2 linked regions of the Notamacropus eugenii genome follow. The protein of the gene in region 1 binds, or shares a complex with, the protein of each later gene. Links are inferred from orthologs where the notes say so. Each region holds a gene or a part of one and is shown in the gene's direction. Other genes may lie near its edges.

What was found. Proteins that work in one complex are often made in the same cells at the same time.
Region 2: MED19 (region 1) and MED21 share a complex: the UniProt entries of both Homo sapiens proteins name them as parts of the mediator complex. The link is inferred for Notamacropus eugenii from reciprocal best matches to the Homo sapiens genes MED19 and MED21.

Annotation. Positions count from the first base shown.
Region 1 is NC_092873.1:3,310,305-3,318,063, reverse strand, and holds the start of MED19 (mediator of RNA polymerase II transcription subunit 19), read left to right. Parts: upstream 1-4,669; 5' UTR 4,670-4,749; coding exon 4,750-5,083; intron 5,084-7,759. Other genes in the region: TMX2 (thioredoxin-related transmembrane protein 2), read right to left, coding at 19-79, 4,168-4,356. UniProt on the Homo sapiens protein: Component of the Mediator complex, a coactivator involved in the regulated transcription of nearly all RNA polymerase II-dependent genes.
Region 2 is NC_092874.1:178,501,377-178,508,627, reverse strand, and holds the start of MED21 (mediator of RNA polymerase II transcription subunit 21), read left to right. Parts: upstream 1-4,194; 5' UTR 4,195-4,771; coding exon 4,772-4,813; intron 4,814-7,251. UniProt on the Homo sapiens protein: Component of the Mediator complex, a coactivator involved in the regulated transcription of nearly all RNA polymerase II-dependent genes.

The DNA of each region.
Region 1 (7,759 bases):
GCAATGGGCCATACTCACTTGATCTCCGGTTCTTCATCATTACAATGGCACTGAGGAACATTAAGATCTCCACCTCCCTCTGTAAGAGAACCACAGTGAGCGCATATGAAAAACCAAGGTGGCAGCAAGCCAAGAGATCCAAACCAAAATTGAGGCACTGACTCAGCATGGGACCCATGGAGAATTATGAAATAATCACAAAGTTGTAGGAAAACTGATACAATGAAATATCGTGACATTTCATTAAATTCATATATATTTAAATCAAAATATTTTTCTCCTGCATATAGAGTGATATATAATGATCCTCTAAAGTTTGAAAAGAAAAGTAGTACCTTTTCCTCTGATGATAATATCTAGGTTACACAATTTCATGCTATAAATCCCCTTGGGCTACTTGCTAGGGGTGTGGGATGGTGAGGGATCATTATATTTACAGACTATGTCTCAAAGCACAGGAAAACTGTGAAACTATCCATGCCTATGAAACCTGTATCAATGCCATCCATCTACTCACCAAACATAACTACTTCTGTATGGAGGACTTAAACCTAGCAAAAAGCCACCAACTTGGAAGCAGCTCTCTGAATGAGGTGAACATCTGTGATCACTAAACTGCCAACAGTCCATTCAGGAAGAATTTGGAAAAAGATACTTTCATACTCAAATACAATCATATTTCATTACGGGTAACCAAATTACTCTAGGCTTAGGAATAAGAATTTTCCAGGACAAGTTTCTTGTCTCTTTTAGGAATATCACTGTCAACAGCAGAGCAGTCATTCAACCTGCTTCAACCCCAAAGAGGTAAGCAAATGAGCCAAAATCAACATGGACTTCAGCACACATCTGAAATCTGAATTTTCTGTCCCAATTCTCTGTCATCAATGAAAGGCAGAGGGAGCGAACACTGGTGAGTCTCATGCTTGAAGCAGAAGCTAGAGAAGGTGTCCATCTGCTCAGTCATTTATTATGTGCCTACCATGTGCCGGATACAAAGAAAGGCAAAAGACAGTCTGCCCTGGAGGAACTCATGGTTTAATGGTGAACTACAAGTGTTCAAAGTAGGAGAACAAGTCTGAGGTCAGACACAGCAGGACAGCAGGAAAGAAGAGACAGGGAAGAAAGAAGGGGGACAGGGAAGACAGTGTAAAATTGTTCACAAATTCAGAATTTGACTGTGGGTAGGGACAGCCTCACCTGTTAGACATTTTATAAAAAGGGAAGACATTTCACCTCTCCACACTGGTCTGTTGAAAGCCTCAGCTTCAAAGGTGGAAATATGGCTTAGAACAACAGAAACAAACATCTAATAGATGTTTGCTTGTGAGCAAAGCATTGTGGTGGATCCTGGAGGGGTGGAGGAGCTCATAAAGTTTAGCTAACCACCTCAAAGTACTTTGTGGGGCATGGGAAGGAAAATCTGGTGAAGGAAAGGAAACTTTGCTCAGGTGAGGAAGCTAAATCCAGGAATGGTGAAATGACTTGTCCGAGTTCACACAGATATTATGTGCCCAAGTACAAAACAGAATACCGCCTGAATTATGGGGGTGGGGAGGATAAGGGACAGGAAGACAGACTTCTAGGAAGGCTTCCTGGGGGAGGTAGCATCAAAGTTGGATTTTAAACAAGTAGGAATTCAAAGAGCAGAGGGGGAGAGGGAGAACACCCCAGTAATGAGAACAGAGTAACACATGCTGCAGGGAGGGTAGGGAGTAAGAGACAAAGCTCTACAGTTTGGTTGAAGCAAAGTGTACCTGGATGGGAAGTCATAGCAAATATAACAGGAGGGGTGGAGAAACAGCAGGGTAATACCATGAATTTGGAACTTGAAAACGCAATAGGCTTTTTATAGGCAAAAGGTCTAATTTCTAAGTTACAGAGAGAACTATTTGAGTAAAAGCCATTCCTCAAACAACAAATGATCAAAGGATCTGAATAGGCCTCTCAGATGAAGGAATCCATGCTATTAATAGCTGCATGAAAAAATGCTCCAAACCACTAATCATTACGGAAATGCAAATTACAACAACTCAGAGGTTCTACCTCACATTTATCAGATTGGCAAAATTAACCAAAAATGGAAAATAACAAATATTGTAGGCCTGTGGGAAAAAAAAAGGCAAAATGCACTCTTGCGGGAGCTATGGACCGGTCCAGTCATTCTGGAAAGCCATTTGGAACTTATGTCCACAAAGCGATTAAACTGTTCATATATACACTTTGACCTAGCAATACCACTACTATGTCTCAATGGAAGGTAAGAAGAAGAGGACCCGTATGTACAAAAATATTTATAAGCAGTTCTCTTTGCCATAGCAAAGAACTGACAACTGAAGAAGCGCCTGTCAGTTGGGGAATGGCTGAACAAATGATGCTACATGAATGTGACAGAATGCTAGTGTGTGGTAAGAATGATGATGATAACAGTTTCAGAGAAACCTAAGAAGACTTGTATGAACTGATGCAGAAAGAAGTGAGCAGAACCAGAACAATTATGTAATAACAGCAACACTGGAAAGGTAAAGAGCTGCGAAAGACTTAGGAATTCTGATCAAAGCAGTGAGCAAACACAATTCCAGAGATCTCCTGATAAACTGCTACCACATCCTGAAAGAGGAATGAAGAATGAGACCAATTTATTTGGTCATGGTCAATGTGGGAATTTCTTTTGCTTGATTATATGTTTATAACAGCGGTTGTTTTTTTTTTTCGTTCTTTCTCATGGAGGTAGGATTTGGGGCAGGGAACTGGAGTTGAGATATTGACTGAAAAACAAAATTTAATTTAAAGAAAGGCAAAAGGGAAGATATTTTCACCTGGCATAACATAACTCAATCTCTGGGCAAACCTATTATACAATGGCATAAAGGACATACTGGAGGAAGGAAAATAGATGCAGAAAAACTTTCTAGGAAGTTATGACAATATTTCAACAGGATGATAAAGAGGCTAGAACAAGGATGATGGCCATGGGAGCAAAAACAAGAGATGGAGAGGAGGAATGTCATATATTTCCTCTGTGAAACTTGAGTTCTGAGGAGTGCAATAATCATCTTTTTCACCTTGGTAGTCTCATGTGAAGGTTGTGAGGAAAGAGCTTTGTAATTACTACAGAAATGGGAGGGAGGGAGGTATTCTAATTTATTATCATCATATCAAAGATACTCTTACTTGAAGACCTTATTAATCTCCTTTAGGATGGGATGAAGTGCTACATATACAACAGACACTTAATGAAACATGATATACTAGAAAGAACCCTGGACTTAAGAAGTCCAAAAATCCAGGTGTGTGTGCCATCTCCACTACTTATTAACTTTCTGACATTTGTCAAGTTGCTTCCCCTCTATATGCTTCAGTTTCCCCAGCTGTAAATTCAGGTATGGGGTCCGCTGTGACTAAGCTTGGAAAGGCAGCATGGGTTAGTGAAAAGACCAATGGATTTGGAGTCAAAAGACTGAACGGTCGATGAAAAGATCAAATAACTTTTACAGACCAGAACGATGAATGACAACAGTTAAATGACCAACACATCATCCTGGGGACTGGAGAGAGCAAGCTACTCACCTCCTGAAAGATGACGCACTAAACGTGAAGGAAGAGATGGTTTTTTTGACAAAGCTAATACGGGAATTAATTTTACTCGGAAGATTTTTTTAATGAGAAGTGGCAGGAGGGAGAGAAAATTGATTTTTGTCCTTTAAAACTTCACGGTGAGCCAATGGAGAAGCTGGTCTTCTGCTCCAGCAAGCGCCCTCCCCTCCCTGGGCTCCAAGGGCGGCGGTGCTGCTCCGTGCAGGCTCTAAAGGGACACGGAAAGGAAGGCTGCCGCCCTGGGAGGCGGCAAGGGCTTGTTTCCTGCCCGACTCTGTAACCCGGCTTCTCGCCGCCCCCTTCACTTCCAGACTGGCTTTACAGCAGAGGCCGCGGGATCCTGGATCTGGGCCGAGGCATCCGGGCCAATTCTCCCTCAGTCCTAACGCGATGGAAGGCGCTGCCCAAGGTCACGGCGGTGGCACCGGGTGGGCCTGGGCTCTGTGGGGCAATTTTTCCCGCACCTCCCGATTCGGTCGGGCCTGGCTCAAGGCTCCTGCCCCCCCGGGGCTCCGGAGGGTCATTCCCACCCTGCCCTTCGGTGACCCTGGGGCCACCTCCTCCGCTCACCCAGTCAAAGTCGCAGGGGTTGCCGTCCTCGCGCTGCGTGGGGAGACCGAGGCAGACCGGCGGCAGCTTCCTCACGAGCAGGAAAGCCACCGACAGGAGCGCCGACAGTAGGTAGTACGGCTTAGCCAGCCATCGCGAGAGCCGCGGCACCGAGTACAGCAGCGCCAGCAGCGGAGCCAACACCGCCATCTTCCTCCCCCTAAAGCAGCAAGCGCCACCACCGCCGCAGCAGCTCAGCCAAAGTACCTGCCGGACGCCGAACCGGTTCCTCGACCTCCTGCCATCCGGGCTTTCCAATTGGGCCGCCCCTCTGTCTCTCCGGAACCTCAGCCTGAAGCTGAATTATGATTGGATGTAGCTGAAAGAACGGCCTTTCTGAAAGGCTGGCCTCTCAGGGCTTCCCTCTTTGATTGGATGCTGAGAACAGGGTGGGCGGAGAGATAGGCGTTTTCTGGTCACTGAGCTACATTTCCTTTACGTCATCTTAGAGCGACGGAAGTTCTTCGGCCAGTGGAGCCAGACGCATCCAATAAATAGAGGCGCTAGGAAGAGGAGGGCGGTGCTGCACTAGAGGGTGGCCCAATGAGAGGCCGCGGCGGTGCTAGACTCCGAGTGGGCGGAGGCAGAAGCGGCAGCAGAAGTGGCAGCAGCGGCGGCGGCGGCGCCGGCAGAGGCAGAGGCAGAGCGGTCGACGCGATGGAGAACTTCACAGCTCTTTTCGGTGCCCAGACTGAGCCGCCGCCGCCGCCACCGGCCGCACTGGGTTTTGGGCCGGGGAAGCCGCCCCCTCCTCCGCCTCCTCCTCCGGGTGGGGGCCCTGGAACTGTCCCGCCGCCCACCGCGGCCTCAGTTCCTCCTGGTGCTGACAAGGCCGCAGCTGGGTGCGGGCCCTTCTACCTGATGCGGGAGCTCCCAGGTGAGTACGGATGCTCTTGGAAACTAGCCAATCAGCTGCTAGGGAGGGCTTGACGGTTGGGGCTGTGGGCCAATGAGCGGAAGCGACAGATAATGGGGCAAAGAGGGCGGGGATATATAGGTATTTCTGTCAATCAGAGAGCCGAAGGGGCGGGACCGAATGAGCGGGCCAGCCAATGAACGGGCTTGTGGAGTCCAGGCTAATAGAGTCTAGAGGACCCGGGTTCTAAACTCCTGAAATTTTTAGCTAGCGGTGCTACCGCGGCCTAGTAACCATGCAGTAAACGCTTGTTGGGTCTTTAAAGTGCCGTATGAATTGTCTGTTGGTGGCTCGTCACTCAACCTTTGTCGGCCTCAGTTTGCTCATCTGTAAACTGGATTTCATAATAGTAGCACCTCATCTTCCAGGGTTGTTGAGGGGGTAAAATGGGTGAGTCTTCGTAAGGTGCTCCATAAAGCAGCCTGTGACATTCGCTATGGAGACCAGGGTGGCTCCTCCTGGTGAGCTACCCAAGTAAGACAAGTTGTGAAGAGACCGGGGCAAGGCAGGATCTAGCGCCTCAAACCACCTCCCAACACCTCCTAACGTCCTGCCCACTGTGGACTGGCGCATGGGCAGGTAGTCTAATTTATGCGGATCGCCGTCTCAGTGCAGACTTGTCTTCTTTGACTAGCCGACAGGGCCCCGCACTTCCAGCAGTGGGGAGAGGGCTTGTGGTGTTTTTCAGGAATGTCGTAGGGAATGACCTGGCTGGAGGTTCCCATGAATAGGAGCATTCATCACAGTGCGGGGCCACTAAACGAAGCCTGCAGACCTACCCTCACTTGGCAAGTTAAAGAGGAGTCCTTTCACAGACCTTGGGAGCATTTGGAACCATCGCAAGATCAGTATAGGGGTGGGGGAGACAGTGACAGCTAAGCTCAATATTGAAGTTATTCATAATCTTGAAGAAAAAGAAGAGTGGATGGCCCTGGGCGGCAGGAGGAGAGAGGAAAACTGGAAGCAGAATGGCAGATTTTAAGGTCATAAGTCTAGGAAGTAAAGGGAGGTTAGATATAAGATCTAAGAGATATATGCAAAGTATCAACAGAACTTTATGATTGTTTGGATGTAGGAGCAAGAGAAAAAGAAGAGTCAAAGATGATGTTTCAAACCTGAGTGACACAGAAGGGTGGTCTTTGGTGCAGTAGAAAGTGTTGAATTCACTACAAAAATCAAAATTTGAAATCCTGACTTTGCCACTGATTACCTTTGGAACCATGGACAAGTCACTTAACCTGTTTGGATTATTAACCTCTCGGTTCTCTGTAAAATGAGGGAGTTGAACTAGATGGTTTTTAAGGTCCCTGCTCACTCTTGCTCTAAAACTACTCTTCTGTGACCATTAACAGAAATTGATAAGTAAGAAGATGGTCGTATAGAATAATATTTCAGGGGAGGGTGGTGAGTTTCGTTTTAGAAACGTTGAGTTTGTCAAGATATAGAAATGATTAACAGATAAATAAAATATCAAAGGCTATTCCCCAGTAGATAAGTGGTAAAAAGAATATGAACAATTTTCAAAAGAATTGTAAACTATTAACAACCATATGAAACTATGCTCCAGGTCACTAAATAAGAGAAATACTAAACAAAACAACCCTGAGGAACCTCATACCCTGCAAATTGGCAAAGATGACAAAAGGTGGGAAGTCAGTGTTAGAGCAGTTGTGGGTAGATATCACTAGTATATTGGAGCTGCAAATTAGTACAACCAAGCCATGCGTATAAAGTGACTAAAGCGTCCATATGCTATAAGAAATTAAGTATAAGATGAACACAGAAGGATGGAAAGATCTACATGAACTAGCGAAGACTGAAGTAAGCAGAACCAAGGAAACAGCGTATGCACACAATCACTACAAGGTAAACAGAATCAAAAGTGAATGGTGCGAAATTATGAAGAACAAGCCTGGCGTGAAAGAAGATATGAGTCCCACCCCATCCACAAATGTACATTGTACATATTTTCAGACCTTTTCAGTTTATTGATCAATTGTGCTGATTTTTTTCCTCTTATTCTTAAATTTTTTTCTTTTATTTAAAAAATGTTATTTATTATCTGGGGGGGAGGAAGAATATTGGGGGAAATTATGGTAACATTAAAAAGGGAAGGAAATGGAATAAGCATTTCTGTAGTGTCTACTATGTGGTAGGTACTGTTCTAAGTGCTTTTTTTTTTAATATCTCATTTGATCTTCACAATAACCCTAAGGTAGATGCTGTTATTATCCTCATATTACAGTTGAGGTTATTGAGGGTCACACAGCTAGTAAGTGTCTGATTCTGACTTTGAACTATTGACTCCAGGCCCAGCCCTCTATCCATTGTACCACCAGCTGTGATCAATCAAAACTTAATTTTTATTTTAAAAGATTAGGAAAAAAAGAAATATTGAACTTGAGTTGACTGGAGAAACCAAGTAGAATTGTCTCACAGCAGGTTGGAGGTATAGAATTGGAGTTTGAGGAAGAAGTGAGGATTGGAGATAGAGGTGTGTCCATCCTCCTCAGAGGCAATATTGGAAGCAAGAGTATAGCCGGATGAGATTGCCAAGGAAAAAGTAAAGAGAAGAGGGCTAAGAACTGAACCCTATGATGTGAATCCCATAATCACATATAGTGGGTAAATAGAGGA
Region 2 (7,251 bases), on another chromosome or scaffold:
ACTATGGGAGTAATCAACAGACAGGTATCCGACTTCCTCTACCATTTGTAACCACCTGTAAAGGAGCATGGGAGATGTAAGATGATGCAGGCAACCCAGGTTAGGACTTTGAAAAGATGAAAACTGCAACCAAAAAAAGGTCAAAGGATTCTAAAGTAGCAGGCATGGTATATTTGAATTTGTTAACCATAAAATTAAGATTTAAGGGTGAAAAGTGAGGCCAGAGCAGAGGTAATGTACTGAGAGAACAAGGAGGAGAGGAGTGCCTCGATGTCATAGTAAGGATGAAGAATTGGTTTAGAAGGGAGACAGAGGGAGAGATGGAAGACTAAGAGTTTATGATGAGAGGGAAGACTTTATGTGTTTAAGATGATATAGCTAGCATAGTTAAGAATAATAGTAAGATCCAAGGTATGATCATTTCTACATGTGGTTGAGATGGAATGAAGGTAGGAGGCTGATGAATTACAATGCCAGTATATTTGATGGGGCATCAATATGCATAATGAAGTCTCCAAGTTCAATGGCAGGGATTTGAGCGGAGAGAAAACTTTGAGCTAGGTGGCAACCTTCTTCAAGAGGCAGGCTTACCTGAAATCAGATAAATGACTACAAGGATTTGGACAGAGCAATATATACAGACAGAATGAATGGAGAGAGACAGAGAGATTGTTGAATGATTGAAGCAGAGGGAAGAGCAGGGAATAGACCACCTCGTCCTCTCCTTGCCCTGTGTGTCAGGGAATATGAGAGAGAGCATATTTAGGACTGGAGAAGGTAGGCAGAGACGCAGTGCCTTTTAGAGAGACAAGTTGTTGAGAGTCCAAGAAGGTGACAAGTGTGTGAGAAAGTGGTGAAAGATGAAGAGAAATTTATTAAGAACAATGTGGGAGTTACAGAGAACTCAATGGGAAGGGAGGCCAGAACAGCAGAAGGATTTGGGAAGAACAGGGCAAAGGTGGATAGGGAAGAGGGACTGGGGAGTAGTTAGAAAAGAGGATTTTCCCCTTGGTGGACATTAATTTTGAATCTTGGGCAATTGGGGAAGAAAAGATTGGAGTTTGTTAACCATAAGACAGAAAAGATTGGAGTTTGTTAAACATAAGATGAAGTATCAAATGAATGGATCTCTCATGCTCAAGGGTCCAGCAGCGTTGGAGAGTGGAGTTAATGTGTAGTTTAGAGAAGTTCAGACTTTAGAATAATTTCTGGATACAGGGACCTCAGGGACCTGACTGAACACACAGTAAAGTGCAGTTTCTTTGAGTCCCAAGATGGCAGGGTATGGTGCCCTGCTGTCTGGACATCCAATAGTTACCAATTTGGAAGCCTTGTTACTTTTCTGCGATAGTCCAGGGAAGCAGGGCACAATTAACTAGGACCTCCTCCCAGGATCAATGATGGAGAAAAGGAGAACAGAAAATAGTAGGAGCGTTGGCATTAATGGTGGCCCCCACCTGGGTGTTCAGTGTTAAAGGGAGGCCTGAAGAACAGAAAAGAATAGGCTGAGCTTGCAAATCAGGGCAGTGTGTTCAGGCAGGAGATTCTAGTGGTGAGGAAGCTTAACACACCTCCTGGGAGAGGTGAAGCCATGAGCCTCCCGGCATTCCCAGCTGTTCTCCCCAGTTCCCAGCAGGTGTTCTCTATCGTCATTCTCTCCTGCAGCAGTGGCAACTCCTAGCTCCCTGTGGCATCAATGGTCTTTTTTTCTTTTTCTCTACCTCTCTCCAGAGGAAGAGACTCTTCCAGGTCTGTCTGCACAATGCAGAGGGAAATTAATGTTCTGAGGTTTGGGTTCTTCCAACCATCAACTCAAATGAATCACCAACCCAAGCTGCTTCTAAAGCCTCCATAGACCTCCAGACTCACCAAAGTTTGCTCAGGACTCAGCAACATAATCCCACCCCTTTCACCTTGATGCAGGAGTCTGTTACAGACACTGGGTAAAGAAAGAGTGAATTCACAGTCTAATCCCTCAAGCTTTTGAGAGTAGAATTTGGATAGAGTTAACTCAGATTACTGGAAGCTATTTCTGGCACAGTCAAGACAGGAGAACCAAGTACCTTCCCTCATTACTGGACACCAATTGTGGGCCTGAGAAAAATTAAACAATCTCCTTGAAAGCTTTAGAGTCCCAAGGGACTTCAGAAGTTCTCTAATTCAACTACCTCATTTTCCACATTAGGTAACTGAGGCCCAGATCTTCTCCAAGGTCACACAGGTAGTAAATACCTCAATCTGGTGTGCTGGATCATACACTACTTGGAGTCAGGAAGATACTTAACTGTGTAAGCCCGGGGAAAATCATTTAACTCTTTTGATCCATGTAAAATGGGAATAATGCAGAGGTGTGGTGGAGACCTAATGTAGTGTTTTGCAAACCTTAAAGCTAATATAAATTGTGAGTTAGTATTACTGCTAAGTGGTAGCTTTGTAAGATTCATGTTGCTCGAAGCAGGATCTGACTGGGCTGAATGTGTTAAGGTTTCAAACCTGGGAATGAATTCTTGGGTGAAGATGAGGTCTTGGCTCTTTGTGTATCCTTTTCAGGATTTATTCTACTACCATGGTTTCAGTTCTCACCTGTGGCCAACTTTCTTGATTGCAAAATATCCAGTGTGTCCATTAGGTAATACACGTCTTGCCTTCCAGCTGTTTTTTGGGAGTGCCCATGGGAACAGCCTGAAACCAGAAGTAACTGATGGAAGCATGAAATAGATGCATGTTGAAATGCAAACAATTTCCTTCTCTTTCTCTTCCTACATTTCATAATCTCCCTGGATAAAACAGGGTAGCAATAAGGAATACAATAGGGAAAGCAGTAAGGGCCACTGAGGGAGCTAGAAAGCTCTAGGTAACCATAATAGGAAAGTTAAGTCATAAGGCTGTAATCATGCTTGTGCAGGGTAGGGATCCTTAACCTGAGATCCATGAACTTGTTATTTTTTTATGTTGGATTACTGAATTTCCATATAATTGGTTTCCTTTGTAATCCTATATATTTTATGTATTTACGAATTTTATCTTGAGAAGAATCCCTAGGTTTCACCAGACTGCCAAAGGGGTCCATGAAACAGACAAGAACTGTTAGCAACTTCTCACTTAAGGCTTTATGGTTTACAAAGTTCTTTCCAATACAATATCACCTCATCCTCATTACAATCATATCAGTTAGGTAGAGAAGATATTATTATTCCTAATTTTAAAAGGAGTGTACACTGAGAGAACTCAAGTATGTTATGCAAGATCAAAGAGTAAATAACAGGACTGGGGTTAGATTCTAGGTTTCTCTGACTTTCTGGAGTCAGTGCTTTTTTCCACAAGATCTCTCTCAAGAACTTTGGATTTGATTGTGCAACATGGGAGACACTGGCACAGGACCACTCAGCATGGTGTGCCCACATCAGAAAGGGTGCTGTGCTCTATTAGCGAAGCAGAATTGAGACAGCACAGAGGAACCGTAGGATGTGCAAATTTGGAGTCACCACCCCAAATGTTCACCCAGACTATCTGTGCCCAATCTGTGCTAGAGCATTCCAAGTTTGTATTGATCTCATCAGCCACAGTCGTGCACACTGAAACTTCACTTTATCATGGTGATGTCCCTGTGGTCCTCTTCAAGAATGAAGGACAACAACCAACCAGCTAAGTACTAGAATTAAGGACACAAAGACAATAACATGGACCCTCAAGGAGTTTACATTCTAACTGGGCACATGGGTATATAAAAACAGATACAGAGTAACCCTGGAGAAGACACTGGCCCCTAGGGCAACTAGGGAAGACTTTATGTAAGAAAGTGGTGCTCCAGTTGCATTTTGAAGGGAACCAGGGTTTCCAAGAGTTGGAGCTGAAGAGGGAGAACATTCCAGGCATGGGGGGTACAGCCAGTGCAAAGGCATAGAGATGGGAGATGGGAATGAAGGGGAAGAACAGCAAGAAGGACTGGAGGATCAAAGCCAGCAGAGTTGGACTGCAGTGTGTGTGGAGGGCAGTAGTAAGAAGGCTGGAAAGGGAAGACAGGGCCATGTTGGGAAGAGCTTGAAATTCCAGAGTTTGTACTCGATGCTAGAAGCAACAGGGAACAGCTGGTATGTATTACGTAGGAAGGCGGCATGATTTAGGGAAATCCCTTTGGCAGCTGTGGGAAGTAAGACAGTTCCGTTGTCCACGGTCCTGGGGGATAAGGCTGGTGACCCAGCCTGGACAGGTTAGAGGTCAGGAACGACTGCGCAGGCCCAAGGAGCTGGGGAGGAAGGGCCGGTCAGAGAGGAGAACACGGAGTCACGTGGCCAGGGGGCGGCGTGGCGGGAGACGCAGCCTAAGCAGCCCCGCCTTCCTGCACGTGTCGCAGTCTTCCGGTAACCTCCCTGGGGAGGCTGCCTGTCCACTTAGGGGGACGGACAGTAAAGACTAGGAGAGGCTTTCCCGATTTCACCACATGTTTCTCCCTGTCGGACCTCACAAACTAGCCGGGGAGCCCCGGGCAAGTCACTTCACCCAGTCGGCTTCCGCTTCCTCAACCGTAAAACGAGCTGTGGAAGGAAACCAGTCCAGCGGCTTGGCCGACGGCCTCCCAAATGGAGCCACGAGGAGCAGGACGTAACGGAAACGACTAAACACAACAAACGAGTTCCACTCCCAGCGCCCGGCCAGACGGTGGCTCCGCCCCCTTCCCGAAGAGCAGTCCAGTGATTGGCGCTCCGCGCCGTCCAATCAGGCGGGAGCGGGCTATAGGAAGGGCTGCGGCGTTGGCGTCAGCGCTGGCAACATGGCGGATCGTCTCACTCAGCTTCAGGACGCCGTCAACTCGGTGAGGAAATGGAGTTGGCGTCGCTGCCTCATCTCTTCCTGGGCGGGTAACGGGGCGCCGGGGTTTGGGCGTTTTCTTTCTCCTCCCGCAGCGGCTGGGGCTGAGATGACGAGGTGAGAGAGGTGGCAGTGACCCGGCCGGGAGCCGAGCTCGGGACTGACCCAGGGACAGGGGGAGGGGCCGCGGCGTTGACCGGGGCTAGTGACCCACCGGAGACGTCATCGCCTTCGGCTCTCGTCGGTTCTTCCCCCTCCCCCTGCGCGGCTGGTCTGCCCCGGAGCCGCCCTCCTTACCTTTCTGGGGGAAGGGAGACGGGCCGGAGGAGAGTCCTGGGCGCCTCCCCGCGGTGCGGAGGAGGGAAGCGAGCGCTGCAGGCCCTGGGCGGGCCGTGCGACGGCGGTGCCCGCTCCTTCCGGGCTCGGGCTGCTCGCGAGGAGGGCTTTGTTTTCTACCCCCGGCTCCCAGACGGGGCTGCGGCTGCCCCCCGAATAGAGGAACAAGACGCTGTGCAGAACGGTTACGGGTGTGAATCAGTAACCAACCAGATACAAATATGTGCTAAACACTTTACGGTAAACGTTGATCAATAAATGCTAAGCACCTCATGTGCCAGGCACTGTGCTAAGCGCCTTCCAGATATTAACGATAAATATTAAGTTCCTTCTATGTGCCAAGCTTCCTGCTATGTGTTAATCGGTGATCAGTAAGCATTCATTAAGCACCTTCTATGGACCTGGCCCATATCTAATAATATTAAGAGATGTTCATTTAATCCCCTCAATAGCCCTGGGAGATAAGTGCTAGTATGATCCCCATTCAAGGAAACTGAGGCAGACAGGTTAAGTGACCTGCCTTGGCACGTACAACTTCCAAGTGTCTGAAAGCGAATTTGAACGCGGGTCTTTTTGACTATAAGAAGCAGTTTTATTTAGGGCTGCCAGTGTACTTTACAGGTTGTCTTATCTCTGTTGGCCCAAATGTACTGGGGATCCACAGTTAAATAACTCTTATATGCGAAGAAGCTTTGTGTGTGTTTTCATAGTAGATTTTCACAGAAACTATTGAGGGAGTTATTGTTAGAGGCAGCTAGTGACGGTGGGCCTGGAATCCGGAACACTCAGTTTGCTCTGTGGCCTCCTTTCTTCAGCTGTAAAGTGGGAATAATAATGACACTTATCTCACAGAGTGAAATGAGATAATATTTGTAAAAATGATCTTAGCACGGTGCCTGGCTTCCTAAGTCCAAGTCCAAGTCTGGTGCCCTTGTCCACTAGCCACCTGACTGCCACTTAATTGGGCTTGCTGAACAGTGTGGCAGCAGGGTGAAGAACCTTCAGTTCCTGATCATCGAAGTGTGATTGTTCAGCCAGGATTAACTTTGACATGGCATTGCAAAGTTGACCCTATTTTAAGATAATTTTACGTATGAAAAATAGAGTATTGAGTAATCTTAGCCATTGTCTTCAGAAGGGAACTTAGGGAAATTGAGGTGGAAGTGGAAGTTCATTCATTTGGCAGATAATGAGTGTATACTGCATGCACAACCCCACTAAGTTCTGCAAGATACAGTTCTTTCCCTTGAAAAATTTAGCGTTTAATTGGGACAAAACATGTACACATTTTAAAAAGTAACAGTACAAAAACAGCATATTAATTAAAAGCCAACATGAATGCTACTCAAATCCTGTGGGTTCAAGAAAGTAGAGATTTGCTTGTTCAAGAGATTTAGAAAGGATTCATGAAGTCTAAATGAATCAGAAGATATATTTTGGGGAGTGATGGAAATATTGGGTAGGGGAGAGATTATTGAGAGCTTTGAATTTTATGTTGAGGGTGATAGGAAACTGAAAGATTTGAAGCAGTGGTGGCTTGATGAAAGTGGTGTTTTTAAAAAAAATAAATTCTATTGGTATACTGAATAGATTAAAGAAATATGAGACTAGAGACATCAGGAATCTATTGCAGTAGTGCACAGGTGAACAGAAGATTGAGTAGTGGGAATGGAAAATAAGGGACAGATATGAGATATTTTGAAGGAAAATATTAATATTGTTAACAATAAAAGAGAAGAATCATAGGATCATAGCAATAGATCCAGACCTCAGAGGCTGTTAAAAACTCAAGTATGGATCAATAGTGACAGGGCAACCAAAAACTCTAAAATGATCTAAGACCTAATTTATAGAATAATCTGTTTAGAGCTAAAGGGGATATTAGAGGTCATCTAGTCCAACTATTTCACCACAGAGAATAAGTGATTTCCCTTAGGTCTCACAGTTAATAAATACAAGTATAGCATCTATAAAAAGAGGTGGTAGTTCTGTTTTGGGCATCTAGGTGGTACAGCAGATAGAGTGCCTGGACCGGAGATAGGAAGATTCATCTTCATGAGTTCAAATCTGGACGAAGACACTTCCTAGCTGTGTGACCCTGAGCAA